2 linked regions of the Astyanax mexicanus genome follow. The protein of the gene in region 1 interacts with the protein of each later gene in a biochemical or structural test. Links are inferred from orthologs where the notes say so. Each region holds a gene or a part of one and is shown on either strand. Other genes may lie near its edges. The genes, in order: claspin and usp20.

Evidence for each region.
Region 2: of the proteins of claspin (region 1) and usp20, one has a biochemical effect on the other in vitro, tested with the Homo sapiens proteins (2 studies listed by BioGRID, with this or other methods). The link is inferred for Astyanax mexicanus from reciprocal best matches to the Homo sapiens genes CLSPN and USP20.

Annotation. Positions count from the first base shown.
Region 1 is NC_064410.1:53,518,436-53,528,406, reverse strand, and holds the start of claspin, read left to right. Parts: upstream 1-6,010; 5' UTR 6,011-6,208; coding exon 6,209-6,232; intron 6,233-6,270; exon of another isoform or gene 6,271-6,293; intron 6,294-7,298; coding exon 7,299-7,413; intron 7,414-7,612; coding exon 7,613-7,947; intron 7,948-8,028; coding exon 8,029-8,190; intron 8,191-8,496; coding exon 8,497-8,556; intron 8,557-8,644; coding exon 8,645-8,717; intron 8,718-8,970; coding exon 8,971-9,073; intron 9,074-9,200; coding exon 9,201-9,724; intron 9,725-9,897; coding exon 9,898-9,971. Other genes in the region: ago4 (protein argonaute-4), read right to left, coding at 2,782-2,800.
Region 2 is NC_064408.1:16,873,983-16,883,457, reverse strand, and holds the start of usp20 (ubiquitin carboxyl-terminal hydrolase 20), read left to right. Parts: upstream 1-5,159; 5' UTR 5,160-5,302; intron 5,303-8,464; 5' UTR 8,465-8,488; coding exon 8,489-8,569; intron 8,570-8,736; coding exon 8,737-8,790; intron 8,791-9,429; coding exon 9,430-9,475. Other genes in the region: c1h9orf78 (telomere length and silencing protein 1 homolog), read right to left, coding at 11-147, 835-1,032, 1,131-1,208, 1,334-1,404, 2,280-2,331, 2,456-2,515, 3,925-4,007.

The sequences.
Region 1 (9,971 bases):
TAAATTAATACCCATGGTCCTCAAGGGTACTATGATATATGGTCTCAATATGTGGACTAGCATGAAGGGCTTATTACGAGGAGTGGATGGATTAAGTGGTGAGTAATGACACTGAGCACACTGTGAGCGGTCAGATCATCTGGACTACATTAGCACACAGCGTACAACACGGATGAGAACATAGGTGGACACCCCCCCCCCCCCATATGACCCTGCAAGTGCAAAAACTGAATAAGGCTAAGAGTTAACTTTAGGAAGTATATGAATCAGACACTGCATGAAGCGGTACAGCAGAATCACTTCCATAAAGTAGGAGACGGGTAAGAATGTTCTTTAAAAGCACCAATCAAAGCACACCAACTACTGAGAGTATAATCAGAGAAGTCCTCATTCACATAAGCGTGGTACCTTCGCTATGTGTCTAATCTGATGTTCAGATCACAAAAACATCAAAATTGAAATTGGACACTTCATCTCTCAAATTCAACAACTGCAATCAGAGTCAAGCTACTTGACAAAATACTAAACCTGACATTTATTTATTATTGCTGTTTGTTCATCAATGGTTGTATTTACCCAGTTAATCAAGCAATGCCATCTTTAAAGTACTTTACCATATTGTGATGAAATTAATATTATTGTGATACACAATGTGCTTCTAAATTTGTTATTGATTGGCAGTGCCAAAAACAAAGACCAACTGCATATTTGCATATATTATTACAAAGGAGTATCATTTCTGTTGACTAAGATGAGGCACAGCACCTTTAAAATAAAAATACTTGGTATTTCGTAGAATGTCATTTGGAAAGCGACTTTTATAAATCTGATTTAGATTCATGTTAACAATTGTACCATGTATTGTGACTTTTTAGAAAAGCAGCAGCTCATGCTGAAATGGTAACAGATAAACTGTTCCCTAAACTGTATCAGTGTGGTACATTGAGATGCAAAAGCAGCTCAGGCTAAATGGCTGCAACATCAATCCGTAGTGCTGAATGGCCAATCAGTAAATTTAGAATTAAAACCCATGTAGTAAATAGGGATGCACCAATCCAACTTGTTCAGTTACAATACAAATACAGATTAATAAATATTGTGCATCGATCAATATCTGATACTAATACAATACCACTGCTGAACTAATTACTTGTATACCCATGTGTGGGAGAGTTAACAACAGGGCATTTGTTAAGTTCAGGGCCAATATCTGATCCTAATACTGTATTAATGAATTAAAAATGCATTAATTGTACTTCTGTATAATTTCCAATTCTTACAGACACTAACCTCCTTTTATATTTATCTTTAATTAATCAGACAGGTATGTGTACAAAACAAAAACACTAGATCCATATCCATGTGCCTCCTCACATGTGTGTCAAATCAAAAGAAAGACAATAAATCACAACAAAGCTTGTGGACAATTCATGAAAGAACAATTTAAGACAAAATTAAATCTGTAACACACTAGTCAAGAGAAACTTGACCATTCGGGTAAACAACTAAACACAGGAGTGATTTCCATGTCTTTTTCTCTATCTACTCATTTTATAGTCTTTCAGTCTCAGTTTGTGGATATTTATTTTCTCACAAGTTCTGAAAAAAGGCCATCATGTTCACAGGCATATCTGTATGGATATTAGAGGTGTGCCATATTGTAATTTTGTAAAAATTGTAATAATAATAAAAAAAATTAATCCTAATAATATTGATAGTTATTGTCTGTAAAATTGTTATGCTGGAAGTATATATACAGGCAATACATAATAAAATCCCTGACATTACATTATTTTGATATGTTATTATTTTATATAAAAACATCAACAGTCTTTAAATTAATGCTGTTTACAAAATAAGACAAAAGTTTACAGGTTTGTTTGTTTCTGCTGGATTTTTGAAACTGTAATATTATAAACATTTATTGTGTTGCAGTAGTATATTCGAGAAATTAATCAAATATCAATTAAATGTCTGAGGTTTCTTGTTTTCATGTAGGCAAGAACATTGCTTTCTCGCAAAATAATCTAAAATATTGTGAAATTACATTGTTTTAGGGCCATATCGCCCACCCCTATTATGGAAACCATGTATGTTATTGTGAAACAAGCGTCGACATTATGTCCAGCATGGAGGGACCCTGTCCAGAGTGTGGAAGTGGCGCGGAAAGCCCTGTCAACACGGCGTCCAACACAGTATATCCCCCACTGACCATATTTAGCTAACTAGACCATGTGCTTGGAGCAGCAAGACTCAAATTAATGACTGTAGAAACGTGTAAAAATATCCTGGTCTCTTTCGTAGGGTTAAAATTTGATAAAAACCCATTTTGAGGCATAAATAACCTAAGCTACAAAACAAACGAGCACACAGCAGCGTATACAACACGACCAGGAAGAAAGAGGAGCTGCTTCGGTTAAATCCCCCTCCTCGCTCGGCAGCACAATGCCGTCCTGCTGCCTTCCGCACCGCTGTGTGTCTATGTGTTTGTGTGTGAAGCTGCTGCATTGCCGCGACGCTACACAACAAATACCTGCCCAGATGCCTCACACACACACACTTGTTGACCCTCTGACTACATTGTTAATCTTGTCTGTCTGTGATATAAACCAAACAAGCGGTTCTGGTTCAGCTGTGGCGAGCGGACGCGGCCCGACCGCCCCGTTTGTTTTCGCCTCTGCTCGGCTAGGCCTACTCGGGCAGCCGCAGACCACGGCCCCCAGTGAGGAGGCGCGCCGGCCTGCCTGCGCTGTCACTCGGCTTGACTCTTTTGCAGCTTACCGGGTCCGAGCGCTTCCATGGCCGAGGGCTCTCTCTCCGTCTCTGTCCCGGCCTGGCGGCTCCGTACCGACACTGAAATTGGGGGCGGTATCTCGAAGCTTAAGGTGACTAATTTGAGAAATGGAAGGATGCGTATAGCTCGTCAGGGGACCGAACTCGGGCTTCGCTGCGTTGTGTGATTTAAAGCGGATCCGTGGGATTTGTAAGTGCGCATGTGCTGGAGCTGGGAGGGTCCTAACGCGCATGCGCGCTTCTGGAACCTTAATGGTAAAAGCTGCGGTTCCAGGCAAGCCCCCAGCTGTAGTTTTTTTCTTTGGAAATATATTTTAAATACATTTTTAAACTTACTTACAAAATCAAACAAACTATCAACATACAAAAGTGATATTAAACACAACATATTACAGATGATACACTACTGATAATTATAGTAAATAAAAATCTGTAAAATAATCCCATAGTGGATTTATCTTCAGGCAATCCCAATTATTGACAAGATAAAGATAGGGTGACCATATTTGGTTAAATACATGTGTTAATAAATATATAATACAATTCTATATTATTCTATATGAAACAACATTATGCTAGGTCTTAACAGAGGGAACCATATCACTTATCCAAGACAATAAGATAAACGCCCTTGCTCCATAAAGCTGCAGGTTGAATAATGTACAGGTAGAAACAAATAGATATATACTTTATCCATCCAGAAGGAAATGTAGGCATACAGTAGCTTGAAACAACACAATGCAATAAATATGCTCAGGGAACACACAGGAGAGAAGATAGCTAGATATACAAAGGGTATAATGAAAACTTTGGTAGAGCAGTGCAGCAGAAGATGGCGCAATCGTCCAATTAACAATCTACACAGCAAAAGTGCAAGATGCAAATGACATGTACCCATATGTGCATACCCATTCACACGTTTAGATGAGTAAATGCCACTGTAGTTTGACTGCACCAGAGATTAGAGGAGGAACGAAATGCCTAATGGCTCGTTAATGGCTCTGAGGGAAGGACTTAGGCGGACAGACCACATATTTACACAAAAAAAAGATTTAGGTAACCAATTAAGGTAACTTAATATTGCAGCATATATAATAGCTGATTACTCTAGTTACGTATTAATTAACTGTAGCATAAAGCGAATGGTATGGTAGAGTGCAGTTCACCTTATCACGCTACACTTCTAATAATAAGTCCACAAGCAGTTAACTTAACGCGCATGCGCGCTACTGGTGAGTATTGGCGTTCCAGGAAAGCCATCGGCTGCAGTTTTAATAAGTTACAGCTTGAAAAGGGAGGATTCAAGTGGACCGACCCCACACAGTTTACACAGGAAAAAAGCTATTGTCTATAAGGTAATGTTGCAGCATATATTGTAGCTAGGAATTTACACACATCTGCTGCAAATAAACAGAGGAGGTTGGTGGAGTGAAGTGTAGTGGACACCACGCCACGCCAATAGGAGTTCTTGGGCAAGACTCCCAACAATACATTCTCTTACGACTGTAAATGTAAGTTACTCAGTATAAGAGCAGCAACCAAATGCTGTAAATGAAAATGTAAGTATAAAATCTGTGGAACACTAGTTGTGGGGCGCAATTCCTTACCTGTTCAAAGCCAGCAATGAAGATTGTAAAACTTATTTGATATTTGATGGAAAGTGCCTCAGTCTTTTTTCCATACTGACTTAATTACCGGCTTGTAAGCGTTTAATTTGACTTATGACTGGGCAGATGTCTTTGTTTGTCCTTTGCAACAAACCGAAAAACAGGGGTGAGCAATGTCTTCATCCAGTAAGAAACATCAGTGGTATGCACTTAACATGTGTTGAGTGTGGATAAGACTAGGCTAACAACTAGTTAATGTACAAACAGTTTTTGTAATGAATTGAAAATATTTGTTAAGTATTTAAATTTTTAAAAGTCTGTGTTCATTAGATTTTAAAAAAAGAAATTGTCAGTTTAGAAACCTTTAATGCGTGAATAGGCTAAGCTGTTTTAGCTTAAAAGCTGATAGCACCTTAACTTACGTTTTTACTGTAGATCAATGTTATGCATTCCCCCCAAGTAGAATTTCTAATTTCTGTTGTTTTACGATATGTTTATTGTTAAAATGAGATATACTGATCTGTAAAGTTATCTTGATTCAGTGGTATTGCTAAGATGACAAATATGTAATTTGACCAGTCACATTGCCAGGAAGACATCCTTATGTATTTTTTACCAATACAGTCTAAATTGTAACTATTGCAAGTGCTAATTTATTTATATGCAATGAAGATATTTGTAGTAAGTTTAAGATCTCCAAAATGTTTTTGGTAAGGTATCGCTAGTAAAATAACTAGTCAAATAGGACTGTCAGAATGATTTTTATAGATATGTAGTAGGGCTGAGTGATCTTGTAAAAATATTATGTCATATGTTCTTGCATAACAACTTCAGTTTTTTATTATTTGTGGACAGGCAGCTTTTTTTGCCAATACACCTCCCCCCTTACATGCAGGTTTTTTTAAACACATTGCATAAATAACCTCCTTGTATTTCAGTTACGCAAAAGTGTAAAATATGAAAATCACTGCCATGGAAAAGAGTTCTTTACACATTTCTGACAGAAGCACAAACCTGCCTACTGTGATTCCCTCTGGCAGCTTATAATGTAAATATGTACAATCTCGAATATCCCATTTTGAAAATCACATTAAAACAGTGTGTGTGTGTATATATATATATATGTATATATATATATATGTATATATATATATATATATACATATATATATATATATATACATATATATATATATGTATATATACATATATATATATATATATATATATATATATATATATATATATATATATATATATGTATATGTATATATACTTTTAGTAACATTAGTCATTATCTGTACATCTGATATTATTATTAATATTACTAGTAAAATAATTCACCTTTGGTATCTGAAATTAGCACTTTTTCTATTAGGAAATCCTATTGCAGAGGTTTTAAAGTTTAGTTTTACCAGTAAAAAGATTTATTTTTATACAGCAGCAAAACAACACAATGAGCTATTGAAAACAACGCGCGCTTCCTATTTTAAAGATCTGCCCAATCAGCGCGAATTTAGCACGCTGGGGATCCGGTTGACCAATCAGAGAGCTCGGCAGCGTTGACGGACGGGAGCAGGAGAGGCACGGCTGTGCTGCGCGCGAAAGGTTGAAATTGTATTCGGTTTGGAGGATCCGGCGGGAGAGGAGCTCCGGTTTCGCGCTTTACTGATCTATTATTTAAAGTTCTCGGGTAGATATCGCGCGAATTAGTCGCTGTCGGGTTAACTGCTGTTTTTAGCCGCTGCTGGAGACGGTTTCTGCTGTTTTGATGAGTTTTAACACCGAATAAAAGAAGCGGACAAAAGATGAGCCTGCTTTCCGCCGAACGGGTAACTATAACTATCACGCAGCCGGGGACGGGCAGATGTATATCAGAGCTATGTTAAATATGTAGGTTATTATGTAGAAATTTTGTGCTTTTTAACTTTGGAAACGCATATAGTTAGGTTGCTAACTGTTGTCACATTAATCACACGTAGGTTAGCCAGCTAGCTAGGTAACCTAGCTATTTGACTTGGCTTGGTGGGTAGCAAGTTAGCTAGGTTAGCTATTTTGTTAGCTCGCTCGCTAAAGGCTGGTTAAATCTCTTTGTTAGCTTGTTTGCTAGCTATATTTTGGATTAATTAAATTGTTTGTCAGTTTATTGTACATTAATTCACAAATGCTGCTCCTGTTTGTACTATAGCTGAAGGTCAGTTAATCTCGGTTAGCTATAACTAGGGGTTTACGTGTGTACAAGGTGCTTGTGGGCTACATGAAGGTTAACCATTCAGCTCCCAGAATGCAAAACAAATAAAGACAAGTATCTATCTTATACTATTGATTTAATGGTAAAGTAGAAAAAGTGGATGGCAATTTGTAGTTGTTCTGCAGTGTTATGTTTAAATAATAGTTCATTTCTTCACATGATTGACCTTAATAAATAGATCAGTTTATTAATCCCAGATGATACAAAATTGGTAACCAGCAGATTAGCAGATGCAATCTTTAGATAAGAAGTGTACGGTCAAAATCTATATAAGAAAAAGAAAAATACAGGAAATATTGTGTAAGCTAGCTACAAAGTAGTATAAAACAGTATATAACAGAAAGTGTCTGCATTGTAAAGATTCAGTCATGTACAACCTGAATGAATGTACATGGTAAAAACGGTGGAATGATCTTTAGTACAGTATGATTACTGTTGTTAAAAAACAATCTCCAGTACCATTAATCAGGCTTATTTACTATAAATGTGTAACTGTAAGGATTTTTCACCAACCTTATCACTATCTCTCTTGTCTTTTTGGCCAATCGACCAGACACCTTTGTGTTTATTATCTGCCAGCCTAATTTTTACATTTAAAAAGTAACATAAATATCTTTTTAACACTGACTTCAATGTTTGCTCTACAGCCCGTGGATCTCCCTGTAGAGAGCCCCAAGGCTGACAGTGACTCAGACAGTGGAGTAGGTTCACCAATGGAGGATGCTGTGACTGAAAAGAACACTGCCACTGAGGCCCAAGGAGGTAATCTAAAAGTACTAAAAGTATTTGTGTGCAAGTAATTTAAAATTTGCTTTCTGAAACAGGAAGTCTATGTTATGATGCACATTTTGTGTTCTCTAGTTTTGCCAGTATTATTTACAGGCTTTTATAAAGCTAGGACATGGCTATTTTCAGTCTGTCATTGTATTATAAAGACTTATTTTACTATTTTGTGCTCCAGATTCTGATGAAGACATTGCTGTCAACCGGAAGGCTCGTTCTCGAAAGGTCCTTGAAGACAGTGACAGTGAAAAGGAGGAGGAGGTGACAGGGATGGCAGAAGCTCTCGTTCTTTCAGAATCTGGTGAGGAGGAGACCACAGAGGGTGATCGAGTCAAAAAAAGCCGGGGGAAAAGGATATCCCGTATTTCCATGGACAGTGATGAGAGCGAGCCAGAGAAAGATGAACCTAAGGAAGAGAAGAAAAAGAGGGGGAAGTCACAGAGACGCAAGGAAAAGGAGAAAAACAGAGGTTCTCTAGTGAAGCGTTTGAAAGAGAAGTCGGGCGCTGTTGAAGTAAGTTAAATTTAATCATTTCTGAATTAAGTATCAAAATATGTAGTCCATTTTTGACCATAATTAATTCTCTATTTTCAGGCGACCTCTTCGGGCAAGGCTCTCAATGATAGCGGCTGCCTACTTGGTGATAATGATCTATTTGATGCTCAGCTGGAAGATGACACAGCTGATGGGGAGATGGAGGAAGCAGAGTCTCTAGATGCAATTAGAGATGCTGTGAAGCAGAAGGCCAGGCACAAGGTGGGAACAGGGTACTTTCCTGAAGGGTATCAGTTCTGATCTAGAACCTGCTTTTATGTTAAGTAGTAATGTTTGCAGGGAATTTGAAGAGAAGTGGGCATATAAGGAAATTTGAATTCACCAGTTAGGGTGTACGATATAGAATAAATATCACAATATTTGTACACAATATTTGTGATTGTAAACAAAATGTATGATTATCATTAGATTCTTAAAGGCTGCTACTCAAAAACTGTACTGTGTTTAGTACAGTGATTGTCCCAAATTCACTTTAAAATGACAGTTATTTGTTTAACCTACCTGCAGCTCCATTCTCATGACATGGAAGATGATGAAGTCAATGAAGAAGACTGCTCGACGCGTAAGGTATAAGGCGCTTATTTGTCTTTCTTTTTTAACTTCCCCTTCTCCACTGTTAATTTGTGAAGCTAATTGATTTGGATAATGTTCTCAGGAGAGAAAAGCAGCAAGAGCAAGTAAGGAGGCCATGAAACAGCTCCACAGTGACAGCCAGCGGCTTGTGAGAGGTTAGTAAATAGCTGATAAGTGGGTGAATCATTCCCATTTTAATCGCTTTTTAGTCACATGCATATGCTTGGACTGATGGTTTAGACAATTAAATTAGCCACTATTAAAGATATGAAACTTATTAGAATTATATAACTGTACAGAAGCATTTGATGGGCTTTTTGTTTTTCTAAACTGTAATTTAACATGTGATTTGGGTACTGAGGTTCTTTTTAAGCTCTTACTAATCTTGTGGTATCTCTTTGTTTTCAGAATCTACTATAGGGCTACCATACCACATGCCGGAGCCAAAGGGCATTGACCATTTCTTTAAGAGGAGAAATCGTCCTGAGGGCCCTGCTATGGTTTTGTTAAAGTATGTTTAGCATTACATTGACATGTGTCTACCAAAATGCATTAAGGGTCATAGCTAGTGGGTGGACGTTTTATATATGACAAAGTTTTTGATTTTCTAACATGATTTCTGTTTTCCTTTCATCAAGGTCTGCAAAATACCAGACCTGTCTCTCTGAAGCACCTGCCTCTACCACCCAGAGCCAAGTAAAACCATCTGAGCAGAACTCAAGCCCTCAGGCTGGCGCATGCCCGGACACACAAGACCCAGACGGCTGCACCCAGAAGGAGGGTACGACAAATAATGAGGAAAGTCAAGCTGCTGATGGAATTGCTGAGAACCAGTCAGGCACTAAAGCAAATGCCGAGCTCCAAAGCATGGAGGTTACAGAGGAAGAGGGTGCTCATCCTACTGTAGAGGTGCCTGAGGGGGCTGGATTAAACAAACAGGGCCATGAGAAGCCACAGGTTCCAGTTCAACAGGCTGAGCCTGAGACAGGAAATTTGGAGCAAGCTGGCTCTACCTTTGCTCAGCCAGGTTCAGTAGTACCCAAAACCAAGAAGGATAAACTGACTAGACTGCGTGAGCTGGGTTTGGAGCCTCCTCCAGTTGCAAAGCTATGTGCCGATGATGGTGCTTTCATCCAGCTGGAACCTGCGCAGGCAAACCCAGGTGAGTGAGCAATGCAATTGAAATTTTATGTATATTTGCATCACTGATGTGACATATTTCAGGATGGTAAATCTGTCCACATTAGGTTTAGTTTTAGTCAGTTACTATTGTATTAGGCTGATGGTCTAAAACCACCATTTACATGCACTCAAAGTAAAATGCTCTGTTTTCAGCTTTGGAGGCTCTTAAGGAGCGTTTTCTGCGACATATCCAGCCAGCTCCACGTCCTGCAAAAGAGCGCTCAATA
Region 2 (9,475 bases), on another chromosome or scaffold:
TAATACTCACAGCGATTGTGCTGGACGTAGTTTACTGCAATGTTGGTGGGAACAAAAGACGTGCCGCTATCTTTCTTCTTATTCCTCTGTTCGGCGATGAGATTCGCTTTGGCCTCTTCTGTACTGATAATATTCTTTATCTTTGCACTGAAGCATGAGAATAAAACAAAATACACCTTAGAAAAACATATAATACATACTTACGACTGTTATAAAAGGCTATATTATATGTAGGCAAAACATATTACATATTTGACCATTTTTATAATGATTTACACAGAAAATATATTTCAATTTTGGATTATTCTGGCAACAGATCATTCTTCTAGTGGACTTTTCAATTTGGCCTATTTAAAAGAGTGGCACTTCCAATGTACATTGGTTTGGTTTAGTGTTTGTTTGCTAATGGACTGTAGGTTCTTATATGTTACACCTTGATGTTCTTTGTGATGGGAACCGTGGTGCTGAATGTTCTTAATCTGTAGATTATCTGCTTTAGAAGGAGAGACATTTCAGCAGTTGTTTTTTCACCTCTTCTAGCTTGATGTGCTTCAAAAACTCTTTTTTCTGTGTGTGCAGGAATGTTCTCTGTTTGATGCATGATACACTTCCAAAATCAAGACTTGAATGAGAGTGAGGACCAACGTTTATGTTCTTGTAACAAACCTTGTAACCATTTCAGTTATATTATACTTTTTACTCTTAAAGGTTGCCAAACTTTTTCAACAAATATGTAATGTTGGATCATTTTACTATAAAATATTTAGCTTTTTTTTATTCTTTTTTCCAGATCAATTAAGTCCTTAAAATAGGAAACCATTCATTTGCACTTACTCAATTCCCAAGTCCACCTCTGGAATGCCACTAAGCATCTGATTGGACAACATCTCTTCTGTTTTTTTGGCAGAATTAACACGGATGCTCTCTGGCAGCTCATACAGGAGGTCCTCTGCATTCTTTGCCTTGATCTTCTGCTCTTCTGCCTCCACTAAACCCTTCTTTTTCTTCAGCTCTGTTTCAATGTACTTCATCCTGAATGGCAGGGAAACAAGCAATGTGTTTGACAAAGAAACAAACAATGAAGAAAGCATTAGATGTGATATAATGCATATACAGGTGTGCATACATACATATCTGCATCTTCATCTCTTCTGTTGGTCTCTGCAGAGAAGGAGGTTCCCAGGTTCAGGTCATTTTCATCCTCAATTCTGGAATGCATACATAGGATAAATTATATATATATAATCTTGTGCACACACATATGTTCACAGTAATAAAATCTACTAACCAAGACAGGCTATTTGATACTATTTTTGATACATTTTAGACTTACTTGTCTCTGTTTCTGTCTTTCACTTTCTTCATGTCCACAACACCTCCTGTCTTGAGCTTAAATGGATCATCCTAGAATAAAGAAGATTAACAACATTAGTTTCCAATAAACTTCTGTACATTTAATCAATTCCGCATTCAGTATAAAATTTATTTATGTATACTAGCTATGTAATAGAACATGAATAAATACTATAAAAATCAAGCAGCATTACACATTGTATTGTAACCACTAGCATGTTAGCTAAAACATGTGGCTAAAAGATAAGGTCTCTGGGAGAACATTTACATTACAATACACAATTACAGGATTTTGTTCAAAAATTGTACTCCTACAATGTTAAAAGATTCTAATAAATATTTAAAATGTTTCTAATAAAAATAACTTGATATAAACAGATCTGCCATAACAATAACTAACAACTCCACACAACCTTAGATGCTCTGAGGTGGAACCTCCATCAATCACATCAATGAACCTTACGTGTCTATGACCCTGTTGCCAGCTCTCTGGATGTCTGCAATGTAATGGCCACTGCATACTATAAAATCTGAGGTTTTTGAGATGTTTAAACCCAGTCATCTAGCCAGCACAACTACCATAGTGAACCCTAAAGATCTTAGTGAAAGTGGCTCAGATCCTTAGCCTTCTCATTTCCTTCTGGTTTTAACACATTAACTGTGAGAACTAACTGTTCTTACCCATCAAAGATGCTACTGTGGATGACAATCGATATTGATGAACTGAGATGTTCTGCTGCAGTTCTTTAAGGCACTTTAAGGCACTTTCAGGCATTTGAGAGGCTTGGGCTTTGATTTGAGTCTTTATTTCAACACAACAGGTGTTGGGATACTCTATTTGTTTCAAACACTGCCACATTCGCAACTAAAGTCTAAAGTCTGTAAATCCATAATTTACACATGTAAAAATGCACATGCAAGCTTACCTCAACCTCTGCTTCCAGCGGTAACTTTTCTCCCACAAGCAATGCTGTCAAACTGTGGAGAAGGATATAAAACATGGTCTAGAAAGCTAGGTTCCCACTGTAGTCATAATATCAAACAATAACGACAATCACAAACAATTAATAGTAGATAAAGGTTATCTTAAACACTTGCATACCTCACGCCACTCTGTCTCTTCCGCAAACTCTGAAGTTCTTTTGCTTCATCCAGTTTCGCCCTGCGGATTTAGTCGTAAGCACAAGATTAGCTCAGACTGCAGACTCTTCAGATATAGAGTAGCAGATTTTAAAGGAAGCTTTAAACCCAACAGCGTGACTCTGACTGTCAGCATTCTTTCCTAAGGGTACTCTCTCAGGTGAGCCTAAATCTAGGGTGCTTGCTGACACTGCTGAACAACATAATCCATTAAATGTACACCACTTCTCCTGTCCCATTTTACTCAGTGAAGATGAGTAGCTAAAGCTACATCCGGTACTCTGCCAGAAGACATTTTAGCCTGAAATGCAATCTTAACCATGCGCCGTAACAAGTTCAAGGTATGTACATGCAGTAGAATTTCGAATTTGAGATATGATTTATAACATGTTTAACAGTAATAGTATCAGACTTACATATTAATAACCATATAATCTATCTAGGGTTTTAGTAACTAAAAACATTGTTACTGCTTTATAAAACTAGAATTTTTGTAATATTATAGATTTTTAGAAAGGAAAATGTGCCATTTCTTAACTTCATCCATTACTTAAAAAAACACTTATTATATTTTATTGTCCTGGGTCATTGTCCTGTTGCAAGACCCATGACCTGCGACTAAGACCAAGCTTTCTGACACTGGGCAGCATATTTCTCTCTATAATCTTTTGATAGTCTTTAAATTTTATTGTACCCCGCACAGAATCAAGACACCTTGTGCCAGATGCAGCAAAGAAGCCCCAGAACATAACAGAGCCTCCACCATGTTTCACAGTAGGGACAGTCTTTTCTTGATATGCTTCATTTGTCCATTTTAAACAAAGAGCTAATGTGCCTTGGCAAATTTTTTTTTTTCTGTCCATAGTATATCCCACGTCCAAAACATTTAACATGCTTCTGTATATGTATATATATATATTTTTATTTCCTGAGAGAAACTCTTTCCTTCGCTTTCTCTGGTCCATGTTGTGTGGTACACACCATGTCACCAAACAGCACAGTGACCTGTAGCCCTATATTTGGCCCACTACATTGTAAGTTTAATATTAAAGATATTTAAGTTACACATAAACATAGGCTGAATTATTTTGTAAAAAGAAGTTAATTTTATAAACAAACACAATATGTTTTATACTTTAGATTCTTCTAAGTACCACATTTAGCTTTTAGATTTACTAGATAGCAGGAAGCTAGTTTAACTTAGACATCTTAAATACTCTTAAATTACAAAATATATTTTAGCTATATAATGCCGATCTGTACTTAATATTCCCAAAGAGTCAGCAAAACGCAGCTCTATCTACAGTTAAGAATTGTTGTTAGCTTTTTATGCTAGGTTAGCTACCCTAGCTTAAGTTAGTTAACTCGCTAGTTCTCGAGCTAACGTTAACCAAACGTTTGTTTACAGTGTAGATCCAGCCGATAGCCCACCTGACTTCAGATGTGACCTCGTTGGATTCCTCTTCATCTGAAGACTCTTCTTTTCTTCTTCGGAAGCTTCTCCCCGCTGGCATGATCACCTTTATACTAATTATCTCACAGCTAACTGTGTAACTAAAGCCGCTACTGCTGCTGGTGTTACTAACTGTACTAACCCTCCGCCCGCTTCACTCCGCAAACCTGCCCCGCGAAAACTCGTTCCCACTCAGATTTGTGTTCCTACCTAAACAACAGCAGCAGCATGAAAATTCAAACTTTGCATATATTACTTTTACCTTTTTGTTATCATATTTGATACAGCTTGATTACTTACTAGCAAATCTAGAACATATATTTGTTTAACCATGAAATGTCTTTAAACTTCACTTTAGTAATTCTAAAGGTATATATTGTTATTACTTATATATTGTCTAAGAATTATTTAGGATTGATTTATTTATTATTATACTATCCTGTAAATGTTGTTTTGTTTAAGTCATTTGTTTGGTTGAATTTCATTATATTTAGTTTTATGACATTAGTTTTGGAGTTCATGTCTAGTTTGGATGTTCTTGGACATTTGGACAGAAACATTAAATGTAAATAACTGTTAATCGTAAATATGTAAATGTAATTGACTGTATTTTAATGTAGTTTGTATTTAGATACACACATACATACATACATACGTATATTAATTTATTTATTTACAAATATATATATATATATTTATTTAATGTAATTTGTACAAAATATGGAAATATCCCTGATTGCATTGTAATGTAATTAGAATGTACACTATTTAATCAAATATATATATAGTTAACTATCATAGCTAAATAACAGTGTGCAGTATATATATTATATTATATTGCATTATTTTGTAATTTGTATTTACATTATTTAATTAAATATATAAATATATACATTCATTAATTATAAAAAAAATTGTTGTTTGTAATATTTTGTAGTTATTTTTATTGGGATGTCGTTAACATTATATGTGCATAACTGCTAATCGTGTACACATAATATGTTATTGATTGTATTGTAGTGTAATTTGTATTTACATTAATTAATTAAGTAATTAAATAAATCAGTAAATACATTTATAAATTAAAAATAATGTTGTAGTTCTTTTATTTATTTTTTATTTGTATTCATTAGTCACGAAATAAAATAATAAAATAAGTAAAGGAAAATAAATAATGAATAGTGTGGGATTGTTGTTGTGGGGGGGAGGCGGAGCTGCCTGGCTCTGCTCTGTGCTCTCTGTGCTAGTCTCTGTTAGCCTGCTGGCTAGCGCAGTGAGATCCTCAGGAGATCGGGAGATTTTCATTTAGACGGAAAATGAACACATTTCAGCCTTTATCCTGGACGCGCTGAGGAGGTAAAGGCTGTATTTAACGCTCCACCTGGATTAATATGGATGTCATTGTGTGTTTTAATGCGTTTTCATGTTTATTTAGCTAGGCTAGCTGAGTCTCTGTGTAATAGGTAACGGTGAGAGAGAGAGGGGTAACGTTAGTTAAATGGCCTCGGCTATGTTCAGACTGAGCTGAGAAAGGTTTATGAGGTTTTATGTGAATATTGTTGATGTATAATTGATCTAAAACACTGTAATTATCCATATTTAACATTATGGTTGAAGCAGTGATGTTGGTTGAGTCAGAATTAGCTAACTTACGTTATATTCCCAGTGGCTGTGCTGTAGGTACTTTGTATAGATATATAGCTATATTGGCTTTATCTTTATTTTTGTGACCATGTAGTCTGAATGTGGCGTATTCAATCAAATTCACAGCGCAGTTCAGCCCTGAGAACCGGGCTGTTTTGTAAAGGTGAAGAACAGCTGCTTGTGTTGAGCTCATGGCTGCTTGGAGGACGTAGTTATCCGTGCCAGGCGAATGAAGCAGCAGTTTGTGTTTTTGTGTGGATTTTTTTTATGTGTGTGTGTGTGTGTACGTGTGTACCTTGTGTTTTATCTTATTTATAAAATTCTAAACACACACACACACACGATTTGCTTTAGTACTTTAGTTACTAGTCTTGTTTTTTGCATTGGCTAAACAATAAGCATCCCCCACACAACACAGAGCTTATAACCATATTCAAAATAAACACTCACAAAATATATATTTTGTGATTACATCTTTTACCCACAACAACATCTTATGCAAAAATTGTATTTCAATTAGGGCTCAGCAAATTGGACCAAAAATAATACCTCAATATTTTTTCAGTGAATGACGATATACAATATATATCTTGATTTTATTGAATCCCATAAGGTAATAACACAAAGACACTTCTGAGACAAAGCTACATTACTCACCATTAGTAAATTTAGCATTCCATTTGGAAATCAAGGGACCAGAGTCCAAAGGAAGAGTGGAGAAGCACTCTGGTAGTTACAGTCATATGAAAAAGTTTGGGCACCCCTATTAATCTTAATCATTTTTAGTTCTAAATATTTGGGTGTTTGCAAAAGCCATTTCAGTTTGATATATCTAATAACTGATGGACACCGTTCTGATGGACACAGTTCTTACCAAGAACTGTCCCTATGGTCTTCCATTTCCTTACTATGTTCCTCACAGTGGAAACTGACAGGTTAAATCTCTGAGACAACTTTTTGTATACTTCCCCTGAACAACTATGTTGAACAATCTTTGTTTTTAGATCATTTGAGAGCTGTTTTGATGAGCCCATGATGCCAATCTTCAGAGGAGATTCAAATAGGAGAACAACTTGCAATTGGCCACCTTAAATACCTTTTCTCATGATTGGATTCACCTGGCTATGAAGTTAAAAGCTCAATGAGGTTACCAAACCAATATTGTACTTCAGTAAGTCAGTAAAAAGTAGTTAGGAGTATTCAAATCAATAAAATGATAAGGGTGCCCATACTTTTGCACCGGTCAAATTTTGGTTTAATGCATATTGCACATTTTCTGTTAGTACAATAAACCTAATTTCAATCCTATATTATTATATAATATAATATTACTGTGTCCATCAGTTCTTATATATATCAAACTGAAATGGCTGTTGCAAACTTTAGAACTAAAAATGATTAAGATTAATAGGGGTGCCCAAATCATCAACAACTGAAAGGCAAGTTATATTACACAGATTCATTGTAAACAACAGCCTTTTCAAATAACAGTTTTCTTCCACAGTTAAAGTATCCCAAAAAGAAGAGACACAAAAAGTTCAGTGTGCTCTTTGAAAAAAGTAAATCTAAAGTTAAAAAAGAGGCTCTCCAGTAAGAAGTACAAAAAAGGGCATGGCAAAATAATTGCGACTAATCAACTAATCGAAAAAATAATCGTCAGATTAGTCGACTAGTAAAATAGTCATTAGTTTCAGCCCTACTGCACAGCAATGCACAAAGCAATGTCAAGACATGGATGATTGAGTTTGGTGTGGAAGAACTTGACTGGCCTATAGAGTCCTGATCTCAAACCGATAAAATATCTTTCGAATGAAGTGTGGAGACTGCGAGTCAGGCCTTCTCATCCAACATCAGTGTCTGACCTTCCAAATGCTCTTCTGGAAGAATGATCAAAAAATCCCGTAAACACACTCCTAAACCTTGTGAAAAGCCTTCCTAAAAGATCTAAAGCTGTTATAGCTGCACAGTGTGGGCCAACATCATATTAAACCCTCTGGATTAACAAAGGGATGTCACTAAAATTCATATACATGCGAAGGCAGGCAAGTACCGGTAAATACTTTTGTCATTATAGTGTATATACCATAAAACCACTACAGTATGAATGTTTCACTTATTAAGCTGCAAAAATGTATTTCATTTTGCCTTACATGACATTGCACATACTGTGATATGACTACTGTGCATACCCGCATGGTGATGATGATGTTGAAATGTTATGTTGGTGTAGCGGTGTGCATGTCCAGCCTAGGAATCAAACCCCACATTTCAGTCACAGGGAGGGTGGTGATGTTATGCCACACCACCATAAGGTCTCTATAGTCCTATATTTAAAAAATTGGAAACTTGTTGGTTGAAGTTGTTAGGTTGTGTTATGTTTTGATTTAGTAAGTTTTAATAAGCTAAATACTGTACAGCAAACTTATTTATTTATTGTACTTGAAAATTGGGCAAGAAAATAAATGTATAGCATACTGTCACATACATGATACAAATAGAAACGAGATGCTTTAATGACTTTCTGATCACAATAATGAGATAATAATAAGATCTAATGTGCAAGAATAATCTGATAAAAAAAATAAGATAATAAGAAAACACAAAGTGTGCTCTCTCTAATGGGATTTGTTGTTGTCAGTAGGAAATCCATTCATAGCTTGACCAGGGTTGAATAGAACGATATTACAGTTGAGTACAGTGATTGGACTAAACTGGACTGAAGCCATCTTATTGTCTTACTCTATCTGTAACCCTTAGTGTTAAATGAGGCCAGCTGTCGTTTCTGCAGAATGCAGTATTGTAATCACAGTTAAACACACACACACACAGTCACTCAGTGCTGCTCTTTTAGCTCTGTTCTTTTCTCTCTTTCAGGCTGAGTCACTCTAGGACCAAAAGATGACAGACAGTAGAGATGTTTGTCCTCACCTGGACTCTATAGGTGAAGTGACCAAGGAGGAACTTCTGCATAAATCAAAGGTAAGGCTGTACTCAACAGCCCAACTTCACTCTGCAATTTTTATATTTAAAAAAATAGAAGAGTGATTCATATACTGCAGTTTACTGCTCAATCTGTGACTTATTTTATTAAATAAAATACAGTACAACATGTACCCTTGTTTTAATGTTTATTTTTTTCCATTTAGGCTACCTGTCAGTCATGTGGAGTGGGTGGCCCCAACCTCTGGGCATGCCTGCAGGTTAGGAAAGTTTTTTTCTAGGCTTAACCCATGTCCAAGAAACGTGTCTAGTCTTTGGTTCAGGCTCTTATTGGCATATCTAAGTGATACATTTTTTAATAATACTATTTGAACCTAGACTGCACTGGATTATGTTGTTTAAGATGGTAAAATCATTTAATTCCTTTAAAAAACAAAACAAATTCACACCAACTGCCCATGTGTCATCTGTTTTAGAATTAAATCACACGCAGATGGTAACCAACAGATCAGGGATAACATTACAGATTTGATGCATTTTTTATATCTTGTATGAAGTATTTATAATATATTGCCCAGCCCTAATACCACACTACCGCTACTTTACATAACAAAAAAGACAATTTGAGTAAAGGGTGCTGAACTGGATTTATTGAGAATCTTTTATATTTTTAACTTATCATAGCAATAGTATACAGTAGAAATAAAAGGCCACCAGTGGACCCCAGTTAAAAAGGGTGCATTTACTTATGTACATGTGTAACAACTGTGCTACAACTTAGATAAGATTTTTTATATTGTTGTTTCCTTATTGTCAGATCATTTTGAACAAGAAATCTCATGAGTTATTGATTATATTTACTCTGAATAGAGTAATAACACATTTTCCTATTTCTTTAGTGTGACTGTCCGTATGTGGGCTGTGGCGAGTCATATTCAGACCACA